Oreochromis niloticus: one gene and its partners. The protein of the gene in region 1 binds, or shares a complex with, the protein of each later gene. Links are inferred from orthologs where the notes say so. Each region holds a gene or a part of one and is shown in the gene's direction. Other genes may lie near its edges.

What was found.
Region 2: mcm2 (region 1) and gins1 share a complex: the UniProt entries of both Homo sapiens proteins name them as parts of the CMG helicase complex. The link is inferred for Oreochromis niloticus from reciprocal best matches to the Homo sapiens genes MCM2 and GINS1.
Region 3: the proteins of mcm2 (region 1) and dnajc9 are in contact, whole or in part, in a crystal structure (PDB 7CJ0), measured with the Homo sapiens proteins. The link is inferred for Oreochromis niloticus from reciprocal best matches to the Homo sapiens genes MCM2 and DNAJC9. Residues at the interface, in NP_004517.2 of Homo sapiens: Glu65, Glu66, Glu67, Asp68, Glu104; in NP_056005.1 of Homo sapiens: Lys185, Arg189, Arg192, Lys244.
Region 4: mcm2 (region 1) and donson share a complex: the UniProt entries of both Homo sapiens proteins name them as parts of the replisome complex. The link is inferred for Oreochromis niloticus from reciprocal best matches to the Homo sapiens genes MCM2 and DONSON.

Annotation. Positions count from the first base shown.
Region 1 is NC_031970.2:13,027,611-13,034,694, forward strand, and holds the start of mcm2 (DNA replication licensing factor MCM2), read left to right. Parts: upstream 1-4,081; 5' UTR 4,082-4,229; coding exon 4,230-4,235; intron 4,236-5,280; coding exon 5,281-5,468; intron 5,469-5,571; coding exon 5,572-5,744; intron 5,745-5,824; coding exon 5,825-5,949; intron 5,950-6,042; coding exon 6,043-6,181; intron 6,182-6,279; coding exon 6,280-6,377; intron 6,378-6,542; coding exon 6,543-6,664; intron 6,665-6,871; coding exon 6,872-7,079; intron 7,080-7,084. Other genes in the region: lmcd1 (LIM and cysteine-rich domains protein 1), read right to left, coding at 1,756-1,782. UniProt on the Homo sapiens protein: Acts as a component of the MCM2-7 complex (MCM complex) which is the replicative helicase essential for 'once per cell cycle' DNA replication initiation and elongation in eukaryotic cells.
Region 2 is NC_031978.2:2,105,980-2,113,733, forward strand, and holds gins1 (DNA replication complex GINS protein PSF1), read left to right. Parts: upstream 1-4,837; 5' UTR 4,838-4,895; coding exon 4,896-4,970; intron 4,971-5,004; exon of another isoform or gene 5,005-5,497; intron 5,498-5,607; coding exon 5,608-5,672; intron 5,673-6,256; coding exon 6,257-6,355; intron 6,356-6,435; coding exon 6,436-6,526; intron 6,527-6,721; coding exon 6,722-6,838; intron 6,839-6,916; coding exon 6,917-6,991; intron 6,992-7,078; coding exon 7,079-7,147; 3' UTR 7,148-7,236; downstream 7,237-7,754. Other genes in the region: lysophosphatidylserine lipase ABHD12, read right to left, coding at 15-120, 870-991, 3,481-3,653. UniProt on the Homo sapiens protein: Required for correct functioning of the GINS complex, a complex that plays an essential role in the initiation of DNA replication, and progression of DNA replication forks.
Region 3 is NC_031978.2:12,735,960-12,743,576, forward strand, and holds the start of dnajc9 (dnaJ homolog subfamily C member 9), read left to right. Parts: upstream 1-4,600; 5' UTR 4,601-4,790; coding exon 4,791-4,964; intron 4,965-7,617. Other genes in the region: ndnfl (protein NDNF), read left to right, coding at 1-996.
Region 4 is NC_031986.2:3,398,484-3,406,413, reverse strand, and holds the start of donson (protein downstream neighbor of son homolog), read left to right. Parts: upstream 1-4,912; 5' UTR 4,913-5,185; coding exon 5,186-5,608; intron 5,609-5,738; coding exon 5,739-5,813; intron 5,814-5,941; coding exon 5,942-6,142; intron 6,143-7,930. UniProt on the Homo sapiens protein: Replisome component that maintains genome stability by protecting stalled or damaged replication forks.

The DNA of each region.
Region 1 (7,084 bases):
AGCCAGAGGCCGAATTACAGGAGGGATCTGTGGGAAACAAAGTGCCGCCAGCACAGACCCAGCAGGCAGATCAGGACCTCGTGGTCATGGATTACCTTCGCTGACTGAAATAGAAACCTCCAGCTGTTAGACTCAGACTGCAGAGAGATGTGTCCAAACTGGCTTTAGCCTACAGCACTTATAAACATGATCTGAACTGATCACAATGACTAAAGCTTGCAGAAAGCTCGACTCAAGCTGGACTTCTGTTTTTATTTGTTTGGAGGTTCTTCCTCATTGGGTCAGATCAGGAAATCTGATGTAATGTAATCTGAAATCAAAAATCAAATTGCTGTAAAGTGTGTTAAGTGTGTGTAAGCTCAAAGTGTGTACGTGGCCCATTATTCATTTAAAGTTAGAGGGTGCCGTCACTGAGTTCAGCATTACAAAACTGAGTGCAGTGTGGACAGTGGATGCAGCTGTGCAGGTTGTTGTAGATTCACTAATGCTGCTTTCTGGCTTACTATTATTACAATTACTATTATTACTATGATTACTATTATTAAAATTCTACAAGAGTCACTTTGCATGACACAGAGCTCAGAATAATCCTTATTTATATTACACTATCTTATTCTCTCTTAGTTCATTACCTGTCCATCTCCTTTTAAACCATCAAATTCATTTTAAAACATGGGGCACATTCAGCCCACTTTGATCTTGAGTGGGCCAGACCAGCGAAACTCCACTTTCTGTCAGTGTAAAACAAAGTTGAATTACAAATTGAATCCCTGAGATATGAGAAGACCACGTGCTATTTCAACAACTTGTCAGTTTTTCTACATGATAAAGAAACGCTGCTGTGTTAAATGAAAGAAATCTGTCAGAATTTAATTGCAGTAAATTGTAAGAAATAAATGTGTAGAATTACAGAGAAAGCTCTGGTAGCTCAGACTGTCCTATAATTATAAGAAACGTCTTAAAAATCTATTGCTTAATTACTCTTGGTGTAGTATGAATGGCAGAGGAGGAGGTCTTTATCAGCAGGAAAAGCTGTAAAACGTATGAAAATACAGTTAAAAGACTAAATCTATGTCTTTTGTTATATTTTCCAAAGATGTGCTGAATTTGAATGTTTCCTGACTAGATTTTGGCCCCTGGGCCTCATGTTTGACATCCTTATTTTAAAGCAACTTTCTTCTGATTGGTTGCTCCTCAGGTATACCTGAGATGACCATATTAAGGACACCCGTCTTTATCTGATGTCATACAGATCCAAGAACGAAACAGTCTGAAGTGTCGGCTTTTGCTCACAGGAATTACTCACACGTACACTGACCTCATTATGTGAGGCTTTGTGTTTAATGTGAGCATACACCACTGCAACTGCATATAATCACAGGAAAGAAGGAAAAGCAGGATAGGTTCCCTTTAAATGAACATCACACAACTCAGATGACACTTGATTTTCTGTGTAGCTAAATAAAATAAAACCTCTCTCAGACAGAAATTGGTGATCTTGAACACAGTGATGAATGAATGTTGAAGAAATGTGAGATTCTTCTGAGGCTTGAATGTAAAACATCCAAACTCAGAGCTAACTGAGACATTTCAAACCTCTAAATGTCAGAAAAGCTCACTTAGGCACATCACAGAGTTCCTTCTGACCTTACACTGATGTGATGTGCCACACCAGTAAGTGACCCTCTGACCCATTGACCTCCACATCTGGAAATATCTGTGAACAACAATCTGTACTGATGCAGATGTTTTTACCTTCTCCATGGCTGAGTTCATGTCCATGTAGTCCAGCGTCAGTCGGTGAGCTGTCTCCTCGGCTCCTCGACTCCGTCTGCCGCCGCTCTTCCAGAACAATGAGACTTTAAATTCCTCTCCTGTTGACCGCACTTCCTCGCTCTCCGCCCACAGTCGGTTCTGCTGCCACTCTGCTCCGCCGGCTCTCCACAGCTCACTGCAATTTAACCGTCCACACCTTCATCAGCCCTCCTTTCTTTGTCCTCTGCTTTTATATTTCTCTCTTCTCTACACTCAGCAAAATTAAAACTCACCTTTGTCCTCTTCAGCTGTAAACTCCTGCTTTTACTTTTCCATTCAGCATAGTCCCCCACTCTTCCCTCCTGATCTGCGTGGTTGCCAGCTCTGCTTCTCCACCCTCTGCAACATGAACTGAGCAGGTTTCTTCACCTCCTGATTTTGCTCCAACACGTGAGGGGGGGAAACTTGGTTGTTTTTTATTGTTTTTTCCTGTAAAATTTCTAATCTTCCAGTTCTACAGTCTGCTGAGTGGGGAATTCACACTGCTGTGTTAAATTTTGCAGGTACTTGCAGTGTTGACTGTTCAAACCACAGCTGCATTGTCCCTAATCACAGCTGCTCTCTGCTGCAGAACAGCACACTGTTGGGACTAACTGGATCAGTGAGGCCTGACTGAACTGTTTGTGTTTTTAATCTCAGACAAAGACTGAGAGAGCACAGAGGGAGTCCCTGCTCACACTCCTCCAGCCAATCAGAGTCACCCTGTAAAACTTCTCAGCCAGTAGGAATGGCTGAAATTCCTCCTCCTCCTCCTTTTCTGCAATTTCAGTGTGGCTCAGAAAAGCTTAGACCAAGGCATGAGCAACACACCTCAGGTTTGCAGGTCCAGACGAGGCCTAGTGGTGATTAACACGGCATGGCCGTGTTTTTTTATGGCTTTGATTTCTTCAGGATTGGTGTTAGCGGGCCTGCTCAGGTCCCGTGAGTGCAGAACAACAGAAATGTTCTGGCGATCCCTCTGACTGCTGATGATCGTTTTCTCTCTCATCTCGTGCTTTTATTTTGTAGCTATCTCTGGTCTATCAGAAATAGCTACAAAATAAAGGTCTGTCTCTGCAGCTACACCTTCTTGTCTCTTTCTATGGCTTAAAGCACACAGCTTTGAACGAGCAAACTAACATTCAAATCAAGCTGATATGTTGGCCTGATCTGAGCTCTTCAGTCTGCACATGTTAGTAACTCACCCTTTTTGACACTAAACTCATTCACTTGTTTAAATTTAAAAACCCAATGCCATTGCAGAAAGGTCATTATCACACCTGTTTTGGTACTAAGGGGATATATTTAGATCCTTTGAGGCACTTTTATGTCTGTAATTGATTATGATGATGTGATTTATTTGCATGCATTGTCAGAATCCTTACTGATGCTAGATTCTGTCTATCATGGAGCACTGATTCAATATAAAGGCTTGTACTCTTCACTGTATGCTATATGCTCAGGTTGAATGGTCTTCTTTGTCGTGTTATAGCCTTAGCCACTGGAATGTTGTTATTTATAAGGCTACTCCACATTTGCTGCCTTCTTACTTACTGGCTTGCATTCATCAAAAAAGTGTGGGACGTTATTGTCTATAGGGCCCAAGATGAATTCCTTCTCTCTGTCCCAAAGGTTTGCACTCAATTTATCAAATGAGCATTCAGCTTTGCAGCTCCTTGCTCCTGGGATGAGCTGCAGAATCAACTAAAGTTTCAGGAACTGGCCTCACTAAATGAATTTAATTAATTAAATGCAGTCACTTCAGGCTACAAATGTTTTCCCTGAATATTTTTACCTTTATTTCTGGCATTATAGAATTACTTTTACTAAAGCATGTGTGTTTTTTATTATTTAAGTTTCTAAATTGTGGTTGTTTCTGTGTTTCATTCTTGTCTCACAATCTTCGCATCTATACATACAAATTATTATTATTTTATCTTATTGATCCCTTATGTGTTGACTTAATTGATGACATTAATATTTTTGCAGTGCAAAAACATCCACAGGAAGGCAAAAGCCACTTTATTTTTAGTGTAGTGAGGATACGAGGAAGGAAATAAAGCGGATTTGAACGCAGCCAAAAATTTCCCGGGAAACTATACGACGTAATAAACCCTGCCCCTCCATCGCGGTCAGACAAAAGGTGCGTTCGTTTTACTCTGCGGCTCGACCCTAGTTGTTTTTATTAAGGTCATCACACAACAGGACAAGCGGTCGTTCTGCTCCTTGTCATAAAGCGAACGCACTGTGCTTTTCATCCCCTCCTCTTTCAGGCAAATACACCAATGAGAAAGCAAAACCTTATCCGTCTCTCTTGAATATTCATGCTTTTTCGCGGGCTTTGAGTGTCACATGGTCTTTTCGCGCGAAAAGCGACTCACGGCAGGAAGAAGAATAAGTAGCTTTTGAAGCAGCAGCGAGACAGAAACGCAGCGATGGCGGTGAGTAAACTCATTAAAAACAGGCGCAGTGCTCTGATGGGAGGGCTCAGCTTGTAGGCAGAGGCGCATTATTCTATACGAAGCAGTTTTTACCAGTCAGCTTTAGTTTTTCTGGGAAAATAAACTTTGTTCATTCGTCGAAGTCACAACAACGACAGAGAGCGTCATCAAGAGTTGATGTAGAGCTTCATTTTCCCACATATCGGAATTAAAAATATACTTTATGATCTTTTAAACTGCGCGTGTTTTGCTAAGAACCGTTTTTCACCTTCGTAGACTGGACCCAAAACCCGTTGTTGTTTTTTTGTTCCTTCGCTGTGAAAAGCAGACCTACCATGTGGTCAGTTAGCTTGTTTTTGCATCTCTAAACCGTCTCAAGTAACAACCGAGGAATAATGAAACTTTTTAAAAAAAATCTTTACACCCCCTTGCATGAGTCCTTACATCTGGAATAATTGATTATAGTTTACTTACAAGGCATGATGGGCTTTAAATTATTGGTTTCAATAAAGTAAAGACATGAAAAGATCATTAAAATACACTGTCCCGTGGTAACAACTGTCCTGTAATACTTAAACTATCAAATTACATTTTGCTTCTAATGTTGGCTCGCCACATTCTTAAATGTAATAAACATGTCTTACAGTCTTACTTTTAAAGATCTATGATCTTTGAGAAGTCACACAGTCCTATGTGAGTTTTTCTTCCCTTAGATAAAACTAACTACTACAAGTTACCAGTTAAAAAATATAATTAAAGTCCATTTGCAAATTGATGTACATCCAAACTAATTGAAGACAATAATCCTTTGACAGCAGTGGCACAATGTTCTGCCCTCATCACCATCCCTACCTACTGTCTTTCTTGCTGCTGCTGTCCACTGAAGACAAAATGCAAAAAAACTGAATCTGCTAAAAAAATAAATAAAAACACAGACTAAAATTAAATGCTGTATGTGAGCAGTGGAAGCTGTAGACAATGTCAGGTTACTGTTGGCAGTAAACATAAGAATAATTTATTTGTTCTGAATTCGTGTTGTCAACAGGATTCCTCAGAGTCATACCACATGGCCACCAGCCCCAGCCGAGCCTCCAGGAGGGGAGACCTGACCTCCAGCCCCGGACGAGACTTGCCACCCTTCGAGGATGAGTCGGAGGGGCTGTTGGGAGATGGACCCTTGCCTGGGGAGGAGGAAGAAGATGGAGAGGAGCTGATTGGAGATGGGATGGAGAGGTGAGCGTGGATTTAAAATGGCCTTAAAGCTATGAACTCTGTGGGGTTGTTTTTTTTTGTTGTTTTTTTTTTAGGGCTTAATAACAACTCTGTCTCTGTTCAGGGATTACCGTGCCATCCCGGAGCTGGATCAGTACGAGGCAGAGGGTTTGGACCTCGATGATGAGGAGCTGTCAGAGCTGTCGCCTGGAGCCCGAGCGGCCGCTGAGGAGGCCATGAGGAGAAGGGACAGGCAACAGGGAGTCAGGGGGCGCGTGAGGCCAGGATTGCTCTATGGTGAGGCTTGAGTGTGTGGATATTTTTCAGGGTGGTGACGTGTAGGCTGTGATTAATTCTTTTATTTTGTTGGCATCCAGACAGCGAAGATGAGGATGACGAGCGCCCGGCTGCTCGGCGAAGACGGCTGGCTGAGCGGGCAGCAGAAGGTGATGGCGAGGAAGAGGAGATGATTGAGAGTATTGAGAATCTGGAGGACATGAAGGTTTGTGGTGACATTGGAGATAAGCTAGCTCACAGAAGCTTTTCAGGTCCGGCTGTTTGGGACGTCTTTGTAACGTTTTCACACACTGTGCAGGGCCACACAGTGAGGGAGTGGGTATCCATGGCGGCGCCGCGGCTGGAAATCTACAACCGCTTCAAGAACTTCCTGCGCACACACGTGGATGAAAATGGCCGCAACGTCTTCAAGGAGAAGATCAGCGATATGTGTAAAGGTAATGCAGTTTTCAGTAAACTTTAATGTGCGGAAAAATATAATTGTTGGCTGATTTCTGGCAATGATTGAATGAATCAATCTGAACCTGTAATCCAGAGAACAAGGAGAGCCTGGTAGTAAACTATGAGGACCTCGCAGCCAGGGAGCACGTCCTGGCTTACTTCCTACCAGAAGCTCCAGCTGAGATGCTGAAGGTCAGTCAACTTGTCATCTTGCTTAATGTCCTTTTCTGTGCCTTTTTTTTTTTCTTCATGCATTTATATTTAACTTTAGCGGATATTAAATGCTGTGAAAGTTAAATGTGAGTGTCCTTCAATTATTTTCTGATCTCCGGTGCGTGTCTGATTGTTCTTTGCCAGATTTTTGATGAAGCAGCTAAAGAAGTTGTGCTTGCCATGTACCCAAAATACGATCGCATCGCCTATGAGATCCATGTCCGCATCTGCAACCTGCCTCTGGTCGAGGAGATCCGATCACTCAGGTAACACTTCAGTTTTTACCCAACAGGTATTTTCAACTTGAAGGAATAATTCACAGTAGTAATGAAACTAAGGCGAGACCTCCACATTTGTCTTGGCGAGGCACATCTGTGGCTCTTCCAAAAAGGGCCGTCTATATATGAAGGAGCTACTTGGGTGAAGCTTTCTGCTCTTTACCAACTGTTTTCTTCTTCTGTTGTCCTCTTCAGGCAGCTGCACCTGAATCAGCTCATCCGGACCAGCGGCGTGGTGAGCAGCTGCACCGGTGTCCTGCCTCAGCTCGGCATGGTCAAGTACAACTGTAACAAGTGTAACTTCGTGCTAGGGCCCTTCTTCCAGTCCCAGAACCAGGAGGTGAAGCCGGGTTCCTGTCCGGAGTGTCAATCCCAGGGACCGTTTGAGATCAACATGGAGGAGGTGAG
Region 2 (7,754 bases), on another chromosome or scaffold:
TGTGTCTGTGTTACCAGACTCCGATCTTCAGCCCGCTCTCAGGTTCCAGGTAGAAGTTGTGTGTGTGGTTCAATCCCTGGTCCAGAGGTCGCTTCAGGTCGATGAAATACGGCATCCTCACTGAGGGGAGGAGGTCAAAGGTCACATACTGATCACATGACTGCTCACTGACACCCAGGATGCCTCGCTATTCACAATGCTTCCTGTCATCATTACTGATCTTTACAGTAATTAATACACCTCAGTGACACACACACACACACACACACACACACACACACACACACAGAATAAATAAACGTTCTGTTGTGATTTATTAAAGTAACGCGGCCCCACAGGTGGGTGGCCCCTCCCTCTGCTGTGTGGTTTCCACCTGAGCCTCTGTGCTATTTTTAGCCCCCATCACGTCGAGGAAACCCTTTTTATAGTTGAGCTGCACATTCATGTCTTTCCTTTTAAGGAGAAATGTGGGCGTGGCATTTTGTCTTCTGCAGTGCACCTGTGCAGGTGACGTGGACAGACTGATGTCTGTCACGATCACAGGACCGACACTTTGTTTTCTAAACTTCACTGAGTCAGACGAACTGTTTGATGCCGTCTGATTGGACGACGGACGCTCTTTAACCGAGACTAGTCATTCACTCAGGTAAGAGTCACAGAGAAGCCCATGAGCAAGCTCTCGGCGACAGCGAGGAGGAAGAACTCCCTTTAACAGGAAGAGACCTCGACCAGAGCAGGACCAGGGAGGGGCAGGCGGCCGGGGTTTGAAGTGATTCATCGAGTTTTCTTTTACTGCGTGTTAACGAAAAGGTTTTTATAAATAAAGGAGCGTCCGCTCACACAGGCCGATTCGGGACACGCCGACTCACCGAAGTTGAGGAAGACGAGTTTGGCCTGGATGGACGGACACAGCTTGATGATGAAGGGAATGGAGACGTAGACGAGCAGCAGCCACAACACCACCCTCTTCAGTTTCCCCACCAGACCCAACCTGAGCACACACATTCAAAATAACTTTATTTAAACCCCGCCTACTCACAAGGGCACACAATAACAGCACAACATCATGAATGACCCACACGTGACACGTTCAGCGTGACACGTGTGACAGGCGTGCAGATCGTCTGACACGTGAAATCTTTACATTCAGTTTGTGACGGGAACCTGATTCTGTTTGGTTTGAACTTTCTGTACATTTATTTTTATTATGACTTTTACTCCAACAATGATTAAAATGTCCTGTTATTAAAGGGTAACTGAAGCCTCAGCTGACATTAAATACACATTTCACTGTATTATTATATCACAGGTCATTTTAAGAACACAGTAACTAATAGAAAGTTTCCGTGGACTTTATTTCAGCGTCCACCACTCGACCCGATCACACAGGATTGACTTTTATTACATTTTTATTCATTAATCTGCATCTGACAACCATCGAGCTGCCAAAGACACGAAACATGAATAAACCCAGGAAACTGCAAGAAACACAACTCTGAAAATAACGCACACAACATGTGTGAGCGATGCAGCCTCACGTTCACCGTTTAAATAAAGTTTATTCAAGTTTGGTAGCAGCTGCTTTCTCTCAGGACAACATGTGAAGGTGATATCTGAGCCCTGTGTGTGTGTGTGTGTGTGTGTGTGTGTGTGTGTGTGTGTGTGTGTGTGTGTGTGTGTGTGTGTGTGTGTGTGTGTAAGCTGATCAGCTGTATTGGTATTGTCGCTGTAACAGGACGCTGCAGCTGCAGACTGAATTATTCATTGATGAGTGAGAGTCTGCAGACCTTCACCTGTCCTCAGAGCAGCATGTTTACATGCACACACACAGCATCTTGTCTGATCGTGGCTGTAATGATGAACATAAGCAGGAAATCAATGTTTTTATCTACAAACAGCTTCTAAAGCCCCGCCTCTTTAACGTGGACCTCCTCCTAACTTCCTGTCAGGTGTCTCCACAGCTGGATGCCCGTGTTTGTGGCGGGCTAGACTCCCACTGTTACACCTGCAGTACTGCTGACTCGTGATAAGAAAACGCAGCTCCGTATTTCACGGCGACTCTCTGAAAAGTGTGTCAGAGGTCAAAGGGCACCCGTGTTTGAGGTCGAGACGCTGACTCGGCGTCACGGAGCAGAACTTCTCCTTTCACAAGCTGATTCTGCAGGAAGTGATGACACATGGACTCAAACCCGTGACCCACAGCTTTAACACGCATCAGCAGCAGCAGCGAGGCCACTTCCTGTCGGCGTCTGAGCTCAGACGGTGGATGTGTCAACGTCCCAGGATGCACTGGGCCTGACCTGTGCTTCAGGTGACCTCCTGCTGGAGCTGCAGAGACTCTAATGAGGATTAAACCAAAGAAGAAGAGTGGACCTGACAGGCTGAGCTGGGGTTAAACGAGGTCTGACATTCTTCATTCTTCGTGAATTAAAGATCAGAAAAGAGTCACTTTGTCTTTTTGGAGTATTTTCTTTAAATTCTTTCATTTCTTCATTAAAGGACGGCTGTGAAGGCGGAGCCTGAGAGCCTTCTTCACCCCCAGCTGTGATGTTTAACCCTGCTGGAGGCGGTCCTATGAAGCTCTCTGAGCCGTGAGCTGTGACCGAACACTCAACTCAAACACTCAACAATAAAGTCAGGATGAAGGCCGACCTGAAAGTGTCAGCTTCATCCTGATAGAGAAACATCAGAATCACAGCAGCTTCATGTTTGTTTGTCTCTCAGTGAAGCTGCTGTTATCAGCTCATTTCTGCTGTAACTGCTGACTTCCTGTGCCCGTAACCAGAGATGACTCAGTTAAACTAAACGTGATGATGTTGCGACAGCTTGAGTCTGTCAGCTGTTGCAGGTAAATAGCTTTGGCATCTCGATGTAAAGTTTCCTGCTGCAGTAAACAAAGAGCAGTTTTGTGTTCAGAGCTTTGAATGAGGCGCTGCTTTATGGACCCGCCGTGTTCAGTCCGACCTGCAGCTTCCGGTCTGACCAGCTCGCCGGCCTCGGTGAAACCAGTCGGACCAGAAACGCCACCCCACAGTCAGATCTTGCACAAGGGTCAAAATCCCAGCACGTTGAGGAAATACCTGAGTTTGTACAAGCCCGCTCCGATCTCTCAGACGGGACACTTTTGGTCTCCTCTGTGATGTTTTTTAATAAGCTGTTTATTCAACTCTGTTTTTAAGCATTTTTTATAAAATGTTCTTATTCGAGTTGTAATTTTTAGCTTTCCATTTTACTGTTGTTTCTTCTTATTTCTGTTTTACGTGTGAGCTGTTTATCATTATGGATTTATACCTTTATCACTGTTAAATGTCTCACTCTCTTGTACAGCACTAATTATTCTTAAATGAATAAACTTGAGTAGAAAAGCAGCAAAAACAATAAAGATTTTTTTCTATGAAATGGAATTCACTTCACATCACACTGATTTTCATCTAAATAACGCGATGCTTCAACATCACAAGCATCTGTCCCGCCTCTCACCTCCGGAACGGTTTGGCCATGCTCCGGTCCTCTCCCGGGCCCTGCCGGCTGCCTGCTGCGGGCCCCGCCGCTCCTCTGCCAGTGCGCTGCTTCAGGTCCGGGTCGCTGTCCAGCAGAGTGCCGGTGGTCCCGCTGTCATGCTCCGCTGTCTGCGAGTTGGTCCGCTTACGCATGCCTGGAAACGTGATTGAAAGCGGATGTTAACCGGAGGACACCCCCGTCGTCGGCGGGGAGGAGGCCGCTGCGGTGCGGGTGACGGAGCGCTGAGAGCCGGTGAGCACGGAGCCGAGTCCCCGCTGTGCCTGCGCCGAGATCCGCAGAGAGCAGCTGATCTGAAGCAGATCTGCCGCAGCCAATCGCAACGCAGGTAACACAACCACGTGGGCGCACAGTGACGCGTCCACGGCCCCCGGGGAGCGTCGGAGCAACGACAACCAAAACAAAACCGGTTTATGAGGATTAAAGAAAGACTAAAGACGAAGGGAGCGTACGGGGCCTTCAGGGACAGCTCGGAAAGTCAAGAAACGCCCAGAATGACGTGACCAAAGTGAAGCGTGAGAAGCTGTGATCTCTGTCTCTGTGTTGGAATATTTAAGCAGCTTCTATCTTGATTTATACATTGTATTTCATTCCAATACACACCACAGACCAAAAAAAATCCCAAACTAAAGCATTTATGAATCGACATCAGGACACTGAGTATCCATTAAGTCCCAGAAAGAGAAGCCACCACAAAGATCAAGTAATTTCCTGATAAACAGCTGCAGTGATGTGTATTTGATTGGAAGCGTGGATGAAACCAACGATCACCCCAGAAGTTTTGACTTATTTTTGAGGGATTTTGCTGCAGAGGGGTCGTTTTTCCGGTGGAACTTGAACGCAGTATTAACAGTGAAGCTAACCGAAGCTAACCCAAGAAGAAGCGGCGGAGAGTGCGTTAAAGGCGGCTTTATGAACTCACACAGAGCCAGTGAGTCCGGCTCGTCCTGGTCCCCGCTGTCAGAGGCTCCTGTCGGGCTGACGGCTTTATTTTTAGCCGCTGCGCTTACCGGAAGTCACGCTGCGGGATAGAACTGAGATTTGACGGTAGATGACGGCTTTCCCGCCCCCGGCGACACCAGCACTAACACGGCTCTCTCTCACCTCTAAGTCGGGCTCAAATGAATCCGCTTCACCGCATCTCCGACTCTTTCCAGAGCCTTTAGGAATCGCAGCTGCCCGCTTCGTGTCGCGGAGTCTGAGGTTTGACCCAACGCGGCTTCCGGAGCTGCGCCTGGAACGGTCACGTGATCAAAACATTGTTTTTACCGCGAACGCGAGCCGCCCGGTACAGTAGGAGCGCGTCGCGGTCCAACGGAGAGATTCCCGGTATTCTGCTCGGTTCTGTTCGGTGTGCTCGTTTTCGAGGTGCCACGATGTTCTGCGAAAAAGCCATCGAGCTGATCAGAGAGCTGCACCGCATGAGCGACGGACAGCTGCCCGCGTTTAACGTGAGTGATCCCGGCGAAAACCCAGAGCTTCACCCGGTTTTCAGAGGCAGCGGACTCCATTCACAAACCTGATATTTTAATATTTACCTGCTGCTCAGAGCAGAATAATCGGTCTGTGATGCATCGCAAACATCCTCAGTCAGTGCAGACACAGGACTAAACTTCGGCTCAGGTCTGATGATTCAAATACTGACCAACAGACCAATGAGGGGAATTTAAGAAAACGGACTCTGAAATTGGAAAAGTGTTGGACAGAATTATGCGCGTCTTAGAGATCTCATCTAAACATGTTTACACATAACGGGCACTGCATTACATGTCGGCTGTTTTAACGACACCGATGTGCAGCCAGCAGCACACAGTTAATATTATGTTGGACTCTTCGTGGTGAATCATTTCCTGCATATGCTGAATTATCAAAGTGCTGTCAAACTCGTGTGTGGATGACTAATAACAACTCAGCCTTAAACAGGGAGAAATTTGAATGGAGTCTGGATTCAACAAGAATCATCTGAAGGCGCCTGGAAGTGAGGGTTTGATGCAAACTAGTGCTTTGTGGAGGTCTGTGCCTCCACCGGGAGCTGCTCCATCAGGTCACTGAGCCTCACTCACTTCGGGTTTGGTTTCTGTGTTTCAGGAGGATGGACTGCGACAGGTGCTGCAGGAGATGGAGGCACTTTACGAGCAGAACCAGAGTGACGTGTGAGTCCACGGCAGGCCAATCTGTCCGGGTTTCCTCAGAGTTCCCAGGGTCTGAGGGTTTGGATCCAGGTTTCTGTTAACCTGAGCTTCACCATGACCAGATTAAACCTCCCGTGCCCCCGCTCCTCCCTCTCATAGCAGGTTTTAAAAACCATGAAATCCATATCAAATGAACAGGAAGTCATGTGAAGCTTTGGGCCTCAGCTTCAGTTTAAATTCATGATACTGGGTCCAAAACCACCTACAGTTAATGTTACAATAAAAGTAATAAATAATACTAAATGCAATGAAAATTTTATCTCAGGAATTAAATAAAATTTTATTTATACAGCAACAAATCCCAACAACAGTCGCCTCAGGGTGCTTATGCTGTAAGGTAAAGACCCTACAGTAACACACCCTCCGGACCTCCTAAAAAGGAGGAACACCACCTGAGTGCTGGTTCAGGGTGTCATGAAGGCCCCGCCCACTCCAAACTGCTCAGCGGACCCCGTCCAGCATCCTCCCTGGCACCTGAGTGTTCGCACGCACAGACAGGTGCGACTGACGGCGTCACTGATCAGCTGATGTGCGTGTTTTTTCAGGAACGAGGCAAAGAGCGAAGGTCGCGCCGAGCTGATTCCCTCCATCAAACTGCGCCACTGCTGCCTGCTGAGGAACCAGCGCTGCGTCACCGCCTACCTGTAACCACACCTGCAGTCATGTGACCACCTCTCTCTGCCTCACCTTTCTCCTCGATGACCTTTGCTGATCTTTGTTGCAGGTACGACCGGCTGCTGAGGATCAGAGCGCTGCGCTGGGAGTACGGCAGCGTGCTGCCCGCCAATGTTCGCTTCCACATGTGTGCAGAGGAGGTGAGTGTGACATCACTTCCTGTGTGTCTCTCAGGTGTTAGCGCTCTCACTGATGCTCTTTTTATTGGCGGTTGTAAACTTTCACTTTAAAAGCCTGAGTAATTCGCTTCAGGGGAGGCTTTTATTGTGAAAGAGGCAGCAGAGCGTGCTGTAGCTCTTCAGTGTGTGTGTGTGTGTGTGTTGTGTGTGTTTTAGCTGCAGTGGTTCAGTCAGTATAAGAAGTCTCTGGCCTCCTTCATGCGCTCTCTGGGGGGCGATGAGGGTCTGGACATCACGCAGGACATGAAGCCTCCAAAGAGCCTCTACATTGAGGTGAGACATTTGACCTTTGACCTTCAGCTGCAGCATGACCTCGCAGCACTGACGCCGGCATCCGTCTTTGTTTTTCAGGTGAGGTGTCTGAAGGACCACGGCGAGTTTGAGATCGACGACGGCACGGTGATCCTGCTGAAGAAGAACAGCCAGGTGAGGACAGGAAGCCACTCTTCTTCTACTGTTTAATAACATGTGAAATGTTTGAAGTCATCATGGTAACGTCCCCTCTGTCCTCAGCACTTCCTGCCGCGGTGGAAATGCGAACTGCTGATTCGTCAGGGCGTCCTGGAGCATGTGGTGTCCTGACGATGCAGATGTTTCAGCAGCTGGAAAACACCTGCACTTACCTTTATTCTGGCCTCTTCTTCTGATGTGATAATAAATGTTTTTTTCAAGCTCCGCCTACTTTATTTAAAAGCTCTCGGCTGCCACTTCCTGTTCTTATCCACCTGAGCAGGAAGCAGGTTCAACAGAACCTGAACCCTGTCAGGGACTTCCTGTGTGTTTGTGTCATGTGACTTGTCATCACAGGATCAGCTGACAGATCCATAAAGAACATCCGGTCTTTAAGTCTGATGTCATCAGCTGTTTCTGGGTCCAAACTCCGCTTCAGGTCCCAAAGTCAAACGAACACTGCGGCATCACTGAGAGTTACAAACTGTCTAAATTCTTTCATCTTTAATAAAATGATCAGCGTTGCTGCTTTACCAGGTGTAACTATTAAGTTTAACATCCAGGCATCCATGAAAACAGGATTTATGAAATTTAACAGAGTTAGAAGTTAGCAGGAAGTTAGCTCACTAGCTTCCACCTAAACATGATATAGCATGTTCTGACTGAGATTTCTGAAACATTCAAACGTACAGCTCTGCTATCACTTCCAACATAAATGAAGACAGAAAACTAAACAGCA
Region 3 (7,617 bases), on another chromosome or scaffold:
TTGAAAGAGTGGTGGTGGCAGCAGTGGGACACTTATCCTGAAAGTCCTCAAAGTCCACCAGCTTCCCTCACTGATGAGTATGAAGACCTCCAATGTGTGTGTCAGGGGACAGAAAGTGTTTGCACCGTCTCAGAGCTCCTGCCTGAGACCCAGTATTACTTTGATGTCTTTGTGGTCGACAGGCTGAATGGGACCAGCATGGCATACAAGGGGACACTTGCTCGGACACATGAGGAGGCTCGACCTGCTATTACCACCCTTAGAGAAGGAGAGCTGAGGTGGGTGACCTTCCAAGACAGAGGCTTCAGCTCGGAGCAGTTCTTCAGTTTCCGTCCTCGGGGTTGGCAACAGAGTGGCCTCCTCACCTTGCAGAGCTGTGGGGAAGGTGAAAAGGTCAAGGTGACTGTATCTAGTAAAGGTCAGGTCTTGACCTCTCAGGCTGTTGGGCGAGAATTAGTGCACATATGGCTCCAGGGAAGTACTTCCTATCTCATCCACCTGAAGAGAGAAGGAACTGCCATGGACCACACGTCTGCTGTTACAGACCCATCGCTACCAGAAGGTCTGACAGCTTCAGTCAAAATGCAGACCTCATCAGCTTACCACCGCAGAGGAGTCCCATCTCTGCCCTCCACCTTACAGATAAAATCCTTCAACCGATTGCGTGGTTGCAATAGTGTCACACTAGCGTGGATGGGAACAGAGGAAAGAAGCCTTTACTGTGTGTACCGCAGAAAGCTTGGAAGCCGTGAAGCAGAAGCTGGCGGAGCATCAGCTCTAACTGCACCCTGTCTGGGGCCAGAGTCCCGCTCTGACACCGAGAGAGTTCTCTGCAAGTATTTCCAAGAGCTGAATCCTCGGCGGGCCGTCACTACAGCTGTGATTGGGGGCCTGGAGCCAGGAATGGCCTATGTGTTTGATGTCTATCTAATGAGACGCTGGGGGATCCCTATCAAGTATACCAGCAAGATGGTGAAGACTAGAAAGGAATGCTGAGCTGCTGCCCCCTACAGGAGGTTTTTAAACTGTCTCAGTTAAGGGACAAATGCATCAGCCACGGGCATGCTATAAAGACTGTCCAAGAGAACGAAGCCATTTGACTGTTGTAGAGAGACTGTTACCATAACAAGGAAATATTCCCTCTGGAGGAGCAATGGTTACATTCAAGATCTCCACTTACAAGATCTGTGCAAGTGGATAGAAAGCATATGAGAAGGATCTGCACACCAGCAAAAGTTCATAACATTTACAATACAGTTCCTGTGCTTTTGTCATTTTTTCCATTGTTGATCATAATAATAATGTGCCAGTTGTCCAAGTGCTTATTTTGTGTCAGAATACAAAGAACGGATGAGGTTTGTGACGACAAAAGTCAAGACAAAAACAACAACAGAGACTGTGCCAAATATGCAACAGAAGCAGATGGGGCAATAATTAGATAACATCTGAGACGCGGGGGTTGTAGTATATATCTCCAGTGCTGCATATTGTACAGGCTTATAAACACAGATGGGTGCAATCTACAGATGCTAAGTTCAAAGTCAGTGTGTATCTTTGTGTTCTGCTTTCGCATGAAGCAGTGAAAATACTTAGTGACTTGCCTCATTGTCTTTGATGTATTCTTGTGCTGCTTCAAACTCATTAATAAATACTTGGGTATCCGTATGGTTCTGCCTGACTGATGCATGTATTAGCACTAGTTTGTGAAATTCTAAATTTAACGCTTCAGCTTTTATCATGAGAAATTAAGTCTTTTGAGTTGCTCAAGGCCACACTAATCTGTGGCATTTAATTAAGGGGAGATTTGTGATTTAATTTGGTGAATAGATTCAAACTAAGGTTGAAATATGAAAAATGCATTTTACGTAGACTTTAATCTGCTGATAGAAATTTTTCAGGAGAAAATAATATAGAAAAAACAATGTTAAAAGGGGTAATTTATATATGGTGTTATCACTTCAGACAGAACAGCTTTAACATCATTAAACAATAATTTGTCTGCAGCATCACTGTTAGCCTCAGTCTTGGCATTTGATCATGCTGTTTACCATATTTGGATGACAGGGTGGATTTAAATTATTAGCTAGCATCCTTGGTAATCAAGCTCCACCCATAAGCTATACAGGTTCAAGGTAGAGACAACTATACCTGCTAAATAGAGCACTAGAATTCACTTACTAAAACTGAAAGACAAACCTCTTGGACCATTTGTATTTCACACTAATCTAATGTTTTTGATTAGTGGAGTTGAGACCTGCCAAAGCTTAACTGGCTACAGCTGCCTGGGTCTGGACACCTGTCAGTCAAATGGCAGATGCATTTCACCCTCCCTGGAGTTTATATAAAGGGTATAAATCCCAAAACCATTTCTGTAAATGGTTGTTAACATGCTATTTAATGGTGTAAACTTGGAGTCTATGAGTATTGAAAAGCTTTTACAGAGCCTCAAGTGGCCGTTTTAGTGAAAAGTGGTGCGGCACAAGAATTGAAACAGTCTTGTGTTGTATACTTGATTTACAAAGTGGGGAAAAAAGTATTTAGACTTTTTACTACAGTAAAAGTTATAATCCTGCTTACGTATTGTAAAAGTGCAATATTTTTAAAGGTACAATGTGTAAAATCTCACAAATAGATATTAGTAGATTGCAGATTACAGCCAAGGAAATTCTGTTTTCTTATCCCTCCCAATTCAAGTACATAATCTAAGCTACAGTAGCTGGTGTAGGACAAACAACTCTGCATCTACAGTGAATGTAGGCTGTCAGTCCACTGCTTACCTGAGTTGTCAATATGCCGGGTGTCCATGTCTATTTAATCTGGAGGAGGCTGTAAACCTTGTGAAACCCCTGTGAAAGGAGTCCGATACGAGTCCATGAGTCAGTGAAGCTCACTTTTGTCCAATTACAGCAATACTGAGGTGAGTTGTTAAGAGTATCAACTTTTCTGTAGGTAAGCACTGCTGTATTTTTGCCACTGAGCTGCTGTTAGCTGCTGTTAGCTCTTGTTAGCTGCTATTAGCTGGTGTTAGTGAATATTTCTTTGAAGTGGATCAAACACTGCTGTCTTCCAATGCCTAACAAACAAACTTTCACATAATGTGAGAGTGAAATCAAACCTTTAATCAGAGGAAAAATGTGATTTTTAGGACACTCAAACCTAACATTAGCTGACATAGCGTTAGTTTATAACCAGCTGTTGTTGCGTAGTTGGCGTTTTCAGTTGTCCAGATGGGTTGCATGTCTAATCCACTAAAAATAAGTAATTGTGACAATTTGGGGAATAAATAAGCATGTTTATGCACATTTGCATGTGTTGGAGCCCTGACTTCATAGGAGATGAGGCTTAAGGTAGGGAGGAAGAAAATGACGTGGAAATGAGAAAGAAGAGAGAAAAATGAAAGACGTGTTGGAGAAGGAGAAAGACATAGTGAGGAAGAGATGATGGCAATACAAAAGTTTCATTTATTAAATACTCATCTATAGCTAAGAAAGAACAATTTGTGATCTTTAAATTAAAAGCAACTTATAAGGGTTCCTACATCTAGGGTGGTCTCCACATAAAACACAAAGGACATTTCAAGTTTTTACAACAGATGCAGCACTTGCAAAGGAATACAAGAGACTGATGCTGATTTAGCTTTGATTGGTGGGAAATGGAGAAATGCTAAGCAGCTGTGGTAAGACAATGAGGGTTTATTCAAGAGAAAACACAAAGCCTTGCTGGTTTGTGGTATTACTAGTAAAATGCACACATAAATACACTGAGCATGTTTACAGAATCAGTTTGATTAAAGAGGTAGTTACACAGTAACTATGAGAACAACATTGCTTTCTATGTAATAAATAAACTAAAAAAAATACTTACTGTACCTTTAAAGTTTAAAGTATTTGACACTTTGCATAATCATAAACATGATATTACTGAATCATAGTTAGTAATTTATGGATGTGTATATCTCTTAAACATTGCAGTTGTTAATGATTTTAATCACTTATATTATTATATTATTAGGTAAAGGTTCTTGAATATACATCTGCCATGCAGAAAGAAAAGAAGAAGACAACAGAGATTTATGGATGTAGTGAAGGAGAACATGGAAAGGGTTGGTGTGACAGACAAGGGTTCTAGGAAATGAGGGTTACCACAGCTGAAAGAAGAAGGCTTATAAGCATTTAATCTGCAAAATAATAAATAATGAAAGCTTTAATGTGTGGAGTACAGAGTGCAATAATAGTTAAAAGTAACAAATAAAATACATTAAACTTGAGTAAAGTATTTGAGTTCCAACTGGTCCTATCCATGTATTCATGCCACTGAGTTGGGGACTGCAAGATTAAGGGTACTCTAGTTGTATTGTTTTAACACCAAACATGTATCAATTAACATTTATAACGTACTGGCAACACATTGAAGATGTTGACACACTATAAATACCATCTGAAAGAAGTTTGGGAAATAAGAAAAAAGTTTGTTCAAAACTATCTTTCCCCAAAAGGATAAATCTTGTGTTATCTCTTGTGTAAAAGTGCGTCATGAAAGGCCTCATTTCACATTCTGACAATGTCGGTCACGAGATCCAATCAGAAGACGTTTGTGTACGTTACGCAAGCGCGTCGATGCACGCACTGGTCTCTGTGACAGGCTAGCGCGCCAAATTGATGTTACCGACAACAGAAAACAAATTAAAGCTTAGCTAGCCACAAAACTCCCCAGTACACGTCGCGGAGACTCTTAGGAGGAAATTGTTTTCCTGTCAAAGCTCAGACTGAGGCACCTGGTCAGCTGTCAGGATGGGTCTGCTCGAGCGTTGCCAGGAGCTTTTTAAGACCTCAAACTTGTATGAGGTTCTGGGAATCAACAAAGAGGCGACAGAGGCTGAGATCCGGAGGAGCTACTACAAAGTGTCGCTGAAAGTCCATCCAGACCGGGCTCCCGACGACCCGCTGGCCACAGAGAAATTTCAGGTGAACGCTCGTTGTTGTTAGCTGTGACAACAAACACACACGCAGAGAGTAAGCTAGGCTTGCGAGCTAGCTAACGCAGCTAACTGTAGTTGCCGTGAATAATCTCGCACTGTGCCATCACAGACTTCACTCCAGTAGCATCCAGTCGCGGGATTTGGTCATGCGTTTGTGGTATCTACATGATTACAGAGATGTTTTGAACATCCCCCAGTGATACTAAATTTTCACAATAATTCAGGTGCAAAACAGACTCGTTAGGTAATTCATATCCCACATATAAGTTACCCTGTAAACTAAATCCAATATTTTGCTTACTGCCAGATCGGTTGAATCAAGAAAAACCTTAAATAGAACCTGTCTTACAAAGTCAAGCAGGCTAAACGAAACAGTTGAGAAACCAAGTCTCACATCTACCAGTCTGGAAAGGCCAGCAGACCACTGTGAGAGCCATTATCCACAAATGGAAAAAACGTGAAACAGTAGTGAACCTTCCCATCAAAGACTCATCCAGGAGGTCAAAAGTAACCCAAAACAACATCTAACGAACCTCACTTGTCTCTGTTAAACTAAGTGTTCATGATTCAATAATAAGAAAGAGACTGGGCAAAAATGACATCCACTGGAGAGTTCAAAGGTGAAAACCAGTACTGATTAAAAAGACCACAAAGGCTCATGTCACATTTGCAAAAAACATTGTGATGATCCCCAAGCCTTTTGGGAAAATATTCTGTGGACTCACTAGACAAAGTTTAACTTTTTGGAAGGTTTGAGTTACATCTGATGTAAAACTAAGACATCATTTCATAAATATGATCTGACGTTATTGTGATGGTTTAGGACAGGGGTCGGCAACCCTAGGCACGCGTGCCACAGTTGGCACGCGAAGGGTTAACTGATGGCACGACCAATGCTGGACTGGCCATCGGGCTTTTGCTCGGTGGCCGGGGTGACTTTTTTTTCCTTTGTAACCGTATAAACAATGAAAGGTGGTGGATTGGCCAGATGCTGGTCGGTGTGTACAAATAACTCAGTTGTTTGGTGGTGGCTATGGCGAAGCTTCCTCAGATTCAGTAAAATTAGCAAGTGGTGGAGGCCAGCAGGTGGATGAGAGAAAGGGGAGGCAGTAGGAGGAACGACCCGAGGCAGCCGCCGGTCCAAGTCTCAGGTGAACTGAACTTCAGGTAAGAAGTTATGACCTGCAGTCTATCTGGGTCAGATATAAACCAAGTTTAGGTGGAGTTTATTTTCATTGTGCTGACTTTTTACAGTCAGTTACAATAACTCGTACTGCGTGCTAGCTAGCATGACGGAGTTTCTATACAGCTGGTGGGTGCTTTGATGTTAGTGATACCATAGTGAACTTTATTTTATTCATAAGGTTAGTTAGTAGAGTTGCCTGTAAAAAGACGGAATCGTCTCGTATTCAGAGAAAATATTACGCGTTTCGTATTGAGGTGAAAAGGAACACAGTTTGTCCCGGACTTCAGCTAGAATGAAAAAAAGACACAAAGCTGGAGTTATTCTGTCGTTACGCTGTCAGCTGTTTCTTCTTCTCTCATTCTCCCCCTCCCTCTGCTCAATCATGAAACGATCAATGATCAGCTGATCGGCTTTTCTCTCTTGTTTGTTTATCGCCCACTTTGCGCCAGAAAGAGGAAACCAGCGGATGTCGCGCTAAACAACAGCAGCACGTTTAAGCTTGATCAGCTGTTGTTAGAATTTATTTAATATTTCTTTCTAGTATCAGCTGATGTTTGCTGGAGCCACAGCTGTAAAGCTGCTGGTCATGATGGTTTGTATATCTGGTGAGAGGGAAACATGCAGATGAAACCAGGAGATGTCCTTACTGAATCATCAGAGCTGAACAGGTGATGGAGAAACAGGTTTACCTTTTAGGTGGCATGAATGAGTTGAAGGGAAGTTATGAACTGTTTCTGAGAGACAAATAACACCAGGATCCTTTTCTAAGTAGCTGACAGCTGGTAACTGTGCAGGGGCGGGTCTAGCAAAGTGTTGCCAGGGGCCAGGTAGGGCATTAACAGGTAAAGGGGGGCACAAAGAAATATTTTCTTATTCTCGTTTAAAATGTCTGGGTGTTATTAAATAATTATCTGAAGCTTACAACCAAATTTTTTATCTAACATAAAATGTATAGAAATCATACATATAACATCGAAATAGCTGGAATCTACAGCTGTGCGTGTTCATGGAGTTTGCATTTTCACCTGCTGGACATCACTACCTGACAAGTTTGACTGTCTTCAGAACATTGCAGAGGCCTTATTGACAGTATTTGGCTCTACATATCTGTGTGAGCAGATTTTCTCTCACATGAGTGTCCTCGGGTAGCCGTCTGAATGCTGGACACTCTGAGACCTGTGTCTCTGAGTGTGAGACCAGAGATCACATTAACATGTGTGTCTCTGTATTAACAAACATGCCATATTGGCCCAGTTTATTTTTCTTATCATTGTTGTGAGGAGACCATAAATAGCATTTGTATTTTCTGTATTTGCTGTTATGGAGTTCTTGTTATGGATAAAAAGTGTCTTTTTTTGTTTGTTTCAAAATGGCTGATAACTATTCGCTGATAGCTGCCAACATCTGCAAACAAATATAATTCTATAAAGTGGTTCTATATAGTGTGTAACTG
Region 4 (7,930 bases), on another chromosome or scaffold:
GGCATCTTATTTTCATGTACTGGACATTTAAAATATGTTGTATTAAAAGTCTCTTTAGATATAAAATATGCTGTGAAAGAGGATCCTCTGCACTCCCATGGAAATCTTACATATTCATACTCTTTTAAGCTTTAACAAATATTTTTAAATAGATCTTTTTTTATATATTAATATATTTAGTATGTGATCTCCTCTTTGGAGACCTTTACTTTTACTTACTTAGACTTAGGTCCTCCTGCGCCGTTCAACGCATTGGGCGGCAAGCGTCCACCAACATATTCGATCGGCTGTGGCTGCTTCGGCCTCATCCCATGCAATGTCTATGGTGCGTAAGTCATCGATGAAGGTCCTCCGCCATGTTGTACGGGGGTGGCCTGGTTTGCATCTTCCATGGGGTGGGTTCCATGTGATGGCAATCTTGGGCAGTCGATGTGGGGGTTGACGTAGAACATGACCTCCAAAGCGCACACGCCACTCAGTCACAATGTCCTGCAGGGGACGTGTGGCAGTTCGATGGTGTACTTCTTCGTTGGTGACATGGTCCCAGTAGGAGACCCCCAGGATACGTCGTAGCCATTGCTGCTGGGCCACATGGAGTCTTTTTGTGATTCTGGCTGATGTTTTCCACGTCTCACAAGTGTAGACTGCGGTAGGTATAACGATGGAGTTGACCAGGCGAATCTTTGTCGCCAGAACGATCTTTGGGGTCAACCAGATCGGCCGGAGCCGCTGAAAGACCGCACCTGCTTTTACAATTCGACACACAACATCATGCTCAGCATCTCCATTACTTGCCAGGATGCTGTCCAGGTAGGTGAATTGATTCACCTCCTCCAGTGGTTGCAGTCCTACCGTAATGGAGTCCTGTGTTGTCACGTAACCTATCCTCATGACCTTGGTCTTGTTTCCACTGATCCATAAGCTTGCTTTGGGTGCCTCTTGCGCCAAGCATGATGTCATAGTAGTCATGTTTTTCCGGACGTCAGCCACCAAAGCAATGTCGTCTGCAAAGTCGAGGTCCTTCAGGTGTGCTGGTGGATGCCAAGGTATCCCAAAGGCATCTTGGTCCATGGCACTCCGCATAACAAAGTCAATGGCAAGAAGGATGAGGAAGGGAGAGAGGATACACCCTTGCCTCACACCGGTCTCAATGTTGAAGAAATTCGTGAAGCCACCCTCTGTGCGGACGCAGCAACTGGAGTGAAGGTAGAGAATTTGGAGTTTGGAGACCAGAACTCTGTATTTCTGCACAAAATCCTCAGTATGGAAGTCCTTCACAATCAAAAAGACGTTTCACCAGTAAAATATTGTTGACTTGTTTCTGTATGTGATATTGACAGTTCCATATAAAATATTTGCGAGGACAGTAGTTAGTCAGTAGTAGGAAGGACCAACCTGTTTATGAAAGGTCAGGGCACATTCATAAAACATTAACACCACCTACTTTTTTAAATAGGAAGTTTAGGATAAAAATCCACGTATTATCTTTCAGAAACATTTTGATCCAATAATTTTGATAATCTGATTAAATGAAGGGAAAAAATGTTGTGGAGCTTATTTCTTCGCTTAACACCACTTTGACATAAAGAGGAAGTCTTTAGCCAGCTAGGAGCTACATTTCATTCGAACATATAAAATCACCAGGTCTATGTTATCATCCATCAAGCTTTTGTCCTCCACTGGGATCAAAACTCCCAAATATTTAACAATATTTTTAACTAGGATATTTCTGTATTAGCAATGTTTTTTAAAGCAAGAATTTCAAAATTATTTAAATTAAGGTTTAAGCCTGATTTGTGTCACTGTGTTTGAGAGAGTGGAAAAGCACTATCCATATCAGTCCATTTACCATTAATACAAGCACTTTTTTCTTATATTTACATGCTTTTTATCTAACAGTCACACACATTTGTACTCAAATGGATGCTTCAGAGAGCAGCTTGGGGTTATTTATGCAAACAGGGATCAAACCACTAAGGTGACCCACTCTACCTCCTGAGCTACAGTCACCCCAGTGACAGTGACTTGTGTACATTTAAAGATAATGCAACTAAATTTATCGTGGATTATTGAAAGGTTTAGATTTTGGCTTACCGCTAAGAAGAGATGGGACGGCCATGATAAAATTCCCCTCTTAATCTGAGTGATGGCAGTTTCACTGATGATAAGGTCTTTATTGCTTTGATTAAAAAAAAGTTATCAAATTTTAAAAAATTTAGGGTTAAAGATAAAATTGTGGAGAACTGTAGAGAATAAAGAATAAAATCAGGTGACTGCCAACAAGCCATTATTTGTAGTTAACTAGCTCCAAAAACAGGTGAATATTATTGAGATATGAATGCCACTCATGAATCCACAGTGGGATTCCTGAATTCTTTTATTTGGATCAGTGTTTCAACGCTTTGCTAATATGAAAATCGTCATTTTATAATCATTGTTGAGTGTAATTGGTCTCCAGTTATCAAAACATAAAGGATCTTTGTTGGTTTGGGGAATTAAAGGGAGATGTCCTTGCTTTAATGACGGGGACAGTTCTTCTTTTACAGATCGCTTCATTAAAGAGAGCAGCTATACATTTAATTGGTAAATTGACAGCAGAAATATCATTATTTTTTCTATTTTTGAGCTCTTTTTATGTGCTTATGCAATGGCTATCTTTCTCATTTAAAACCTTAGAAATTCCCAGTATTTTCCACATTCATCACTTGTTGAGGCCAAATTCCAGGACTTTCCTATAAGATCCTTTATATCTGATATGAGCTGTTCGCTCTTCAGAAGTGAGCTAGTCTGAGCCTAACCCCTTCTATTGTGCCACTTACTGATATTTGGTGTCTGTGTCACAATTTTGTGGTCTTTCAAAATAGCAGGAAAAATTTCTGCCTCCTTTATATTCAGTTCAAGCTCTGCTTAAATCAACCAAAACGTGATTATAGACAGAGTACTAGAATCTTTGGATGTAAGCTGTTTCCACAGCGCTGCTCTGACCACTCTCTTTCTCACCAAAATGAAGCTTCTTCTCTTTCAGGAAGGAACTGTTGTTTGCTCTCTTTCAGATGTTTCTCACAGAGCAGAGGATGATGATTGCACATGGCTCGTCTGCCCAGCGTGTGCGTCACATCAATCATTGCCTTCTGTCTGAGCTCGGTAGCAGCTTTCTGACAGAATCAGGATACTTTTTGTCTCACGTCCTGTTGTCTTGTTCATTCTCATCGTACAGATGCAGACGCCATCATTTTTTGTAGCACTGTGCTTCAGATAATCTGTTACTGATATCACTTTGCTGTTTTTGAATATTTTCTCAAGAGCTTGTTTTTCTCTTTTGTTAATGCCATTAATTTCTTCATAAACAAACTAGTCATGTTTAAGCTTTTCTATCATATTGGGACCATGTTTTCTAGCTTGTTTGCCTTGTTTACCTCGATTGTGAGAACACTGATTATATTAGTCTGCAGCTCGTGAAGGGACAGGGCATTGGTGTTCCTCTTTTTGACCCCTGGCCTATTTTGAAATTCTAACCAGGAAGAAGGAAACGGGTTAAACTGGACCACAACAGTAAAATCTAAGAAAATAAGATGTATTTAATTTTATATGCCATGGGACAGATTTACTAAGTGAGGCAAATTATTGTGATGTCACAACTGCAGTGTGGAGCAATTTATAAACAATTGGTGCAGTAAAAGCACTTCAGTAAGAGCAGTGCAAAATACTAGCTCAAAAATCCAGTGTAAGCTCATGACTGGACCTGGAACTGGGGCTTGCTGAGCCTTGGCCCCTTTGGGACATGGTCATGGAGGGAGTGGTTCCCTCTTCCTACCGCTTTCCGCTGGATGATGCTGCCCCAACCTGGGATGCAGGGAGGGGCAGCATCCAAGGGAGGGATCAACAGCACGTGGCTGGATGTTCTGGTGTGGTTGTTGAGCCGCTCCCTTGCTGGTATGGGATGGCTTGGACCTCTTCCTTGTTAGGGGGCTCTGGCTCAGGTGCTGGCCAATTCTTGGACGCCTGGAGCCCTGGGACCCTGTTCTCGGCTCGTGCCACTATCCTTTTATTATATTTTCCCTTATTTCTTCCCTCCTTCTCCCTTTTATTTCTCCTCTTGACTGTCCTGCCTTAGACGTTGTCATACTATACCACACATAATGTAATAACTGAAACAACACAAAAAGAAACGAATAAATAAACTGATAAAAGATACACGTGAACAAGAGGAGCCTATAGCGAATTTATACAGCTGATCTTGAAAAGGAGAACTATACTCACTCGAGAGGATGATACAACCATGTTGTTCCCTCTATCTGCAGCTGAGCACTGGCTGGCTTTTCCCCACAGAAGAGTGTCCAGCATGTAACAACAGATTATTTAAACCATATACTAACCTTTACACGCTACTGTATAGTGTCTGCAATGATAAATCACGTTTTCAAGTTTGTTTGTTTTTAAAAAAAAAAAAAAATCTACTTCATCTGAAAACAAAATGCAGGTATACAATGGAAGCCCAAATGTCCCAGTTTAACACTGGAACTTGAAAGCAGCTTACATTTGTAGATCTATGCGAAGCTGGCGACGTTAAATTTGTCCCCTCTAAGTCCCGCCGGTACTCGTCACTGTCATGATATATAGCCGCTGCAGTATTCTCCTGGATGATAGGCGTCGCCACTAAGACAATATCGCCACATAAGCGCTGACATAGGAAGAGAAGAAGTCAAAGCCGGAAGTCAAGACTTTGACTAGTGTTTTTCTGAAAAGTTCTTTCTACAAACCCTCAAGTTTCCAAACTGTTCCAACATCTCCTTCTGTATATGTCTCTGATTATTATTAAATTGTTAATTTAAATTATACAATTCAAATGCAGTAAAACCCGATACGACGTCACATCCTGACGTACCATAATGTCCAAAGTTCCCGATGAGTAAAGGCTCCAACAGACACAATAATTGCACTTAACTCTGTAGATTATTATGTATTTATTTTTAACGTGTCACAAAAACAAACGTGAACAAATGACGTCCGTTTAGCTCCGACCTCTTCACAGCCATTAACACGCGGGGACTCTTTACGTCAGCACGCTACGCGCCAAATTTGTACAGCGCAGAAAGCGCAAAACAAAAACAGCCGCGGGTCCTGCCCTTTCTAAAGGAAACAGCGCTAAAAGTGGATTGTTTGGGGCAAACTGCATCTCCACAGGATGTCGGAACACTTTGGATACTCACCCAGCTTCAAGCGGCCTGCGGAAATTTTGCGAATGAGGCGCAAAAGAGCCCGAAGCGAAGCCGGGGCCGGGTCCACAGACAGCCCCGAACAAAGCGGCTCATCTCCGACGTGCGTACGGACTTTCTCCCCCGAACCGCTCTCCGGCGCCCAGAACCATTTCGGGGTTGGAATAAAACGCAGGAACCCGTTCGCAAAAATAGAAAACACTTACAGTCCTAAGAAGAAACGTCTAACTTTTAACGACGCCAGCTGTAACACCGAAAACTCCGATAGCTCCGGGATCGCAAACAATGAGAGAGATGAAGAATCATCGAAGAGAGAAGGCACGCTAGATCTGGCTCTCAGCTTCAGGCTCGATGAGGCACAAGAACAGGAATACCGACAAGCTTCCAGCCAGGTTGGTCTCGGTCCTTTGCACTGTCGTCAGGAAGCTCCTGTTTTTATGTGGTAGAGATGTAAACATGAGGGGAGAAACTATAGGACCCCCTCTTAAACGCCTTACCTTTCTTGTCTGTGTCCTGCTGTAGAAATCTGGATCTCTGTCTGAGAGTGATGTGTTGTTGGAAGAAGAACCGGAGGATATTAAAAACCCACTGCTGAAGGTGGGAATTTATTCTGTGTGTTTTTTAAATGCTGAATGACATATCTGTGAGAATTGTCACTTTTTCCCAGGTTTTCTGTTGTGCAGTGTATAACCGTGTATTCAAAGGATTCCCCTCTGTCCTTCTAGAGCCCCCAAGCCACTGCTCCCACTGCCGTAGCAGCTCCTGTGTGCACCCAGTATCCAGCAGACTGGAGCCTAAAGACTCGTCTCCTCCTGACCTCTCCGGTCTCCCTTTCATGGGCAGAGCAGCTCAAGGCTCAGGAAGAAGCTCAGGGGCTCAGCCAGCACTGCAGGGCACAGTTCAGTCCCCTGCCACACAGTCCACAGGTAGGCTCATTGCATACATGTGGAAGATGGACAGGCGCACAATAGTCACTGTGCATTTATATGTTGCTATGGAGACGCTAGTGACACCAGTTACAGCTCTCCAAATAAATATTTTTTTCAGCACTTGTTGAGCCCTCAAAATTTCACGACTTTTCGATTTTAGACCCACTTCAGATGTTTAAATCTAAAATCTTGTTTTTTATTCAGCCAGATTTTTTTTTCTGTAACCAAATTAAAAATGATATCACAGAATAGCAGAGATGATCAGTGTGACAGTTTCCATGCAAACCTGGATCAGTTTGATGATTCTGAGTCTCAGTCTAAAACAAAGATACGCTTCTTAATAATTATTATTTATAATAACAATGAAAATTGCAGGTCCCTACTGTCATTAGTAGGGATTTTGTATATATGAGCTTCTTTAGCCAGTAGGCGTGGATGATGTCAGGGCCAGATGCTGCCCAACGCTTCATGCTTGAGACTCTTTCATGGATGTCTGCCGCTGTGATGCTTACTGGATCCCGTTCAGGGAGGCTGCTGTGGTTCGCCCGTAGATCCACTAAACACTGAGCATTGCTGTCATGGGTTGTGTGCTTCTGCTGTATACTCTTCCGATATTGCTCCATCTCCAGCACCTCACATCTCAGATGATTTGATTTTCATGGCTTCGATGTCTCAGGTGTACCTCTTCAAGCTGCTAGCCAAGGCTGTGAGTCTTTGCTTGGCAGTTTCCAAGGCCTCAGGTGTGACCAGCTTGCTGTACTTCTTAGACATCCCTTTCTTCATCACACCTTTCTGCAGCTCCAATACTTCCCTCTATGCTGCCTTGATCTTGGCCTCTAGTTTCCTTCTCCATGGAGGGTACTGCTCCTTGTGGGTGCTCATCTTGTTCCCAAACATCTCACTGATCACTGCTGTTGTGGGGTAGATCAGTTGGTTGGTTTCATTGATGACCACAGTGGTGATTGTCTGTAATGTTGCATTCACATCGCACGGGGGCTGCACGGCCTAAAGTCCTTTCTTTTTCTCAAAAATCGACGGTATGCCTTATGTATGAATTCTGGTTGTGCTTACTGACTGCGAACCGATTTTATGTGATACACAGCGCTCAGCAATCTGTCAAAAAATGTTTTAGTGCGACTTTGCTAAGCTACGGCGCTGCACCGCTTGATGGATTGTCGGAGGATTACAGCTACCGTAGTCAGGAGCCTCGCGGAGTGATACGTACTGTGCTTCAACGTAATATTACCGTATTGTGTGTGTATAAGGACCATAAATGGCTCCTGTTCAGAGACATGGTTACAAAGAGGATTTCAAACTCCAGGCTGTCAGTCACGCAGTAGAAGTTGGGAACAGAGCAGCTGTGAAATCTGTCTATGTTATTATGCTCAGCGTCTGTTAGTTTACATTTTGACTGCACAGTTGTGAGCTCTTTGTTATGCACAAAAACAACAGTTTTATTTTATTTCTGGAGTAATATTATTATTGAAGTAGTAATTTTTTCATGTACATCTATGCTGTATGTTAAAAAAGTGTCTGTGTGAGATCTGGGACACAGCTTTCACTTAGAACTCTCTTTTTGTTCTTACTTTATGGCTTTAAAAAAATATCGAGATATATATTTCGTCATCCAGCTAAAGAATATCGAGAAATGAATTTTGGGTCATATCGCCCAGCTCTACTTCACATAGTCTTCGTAATCAGACCTCTCAGGTCAGCTGCTCTTTCAAATCTCTAGTTGCAATAGCAGTTGCTTCTTCTGCATGTTGGAACACTGAGCTACTAGTT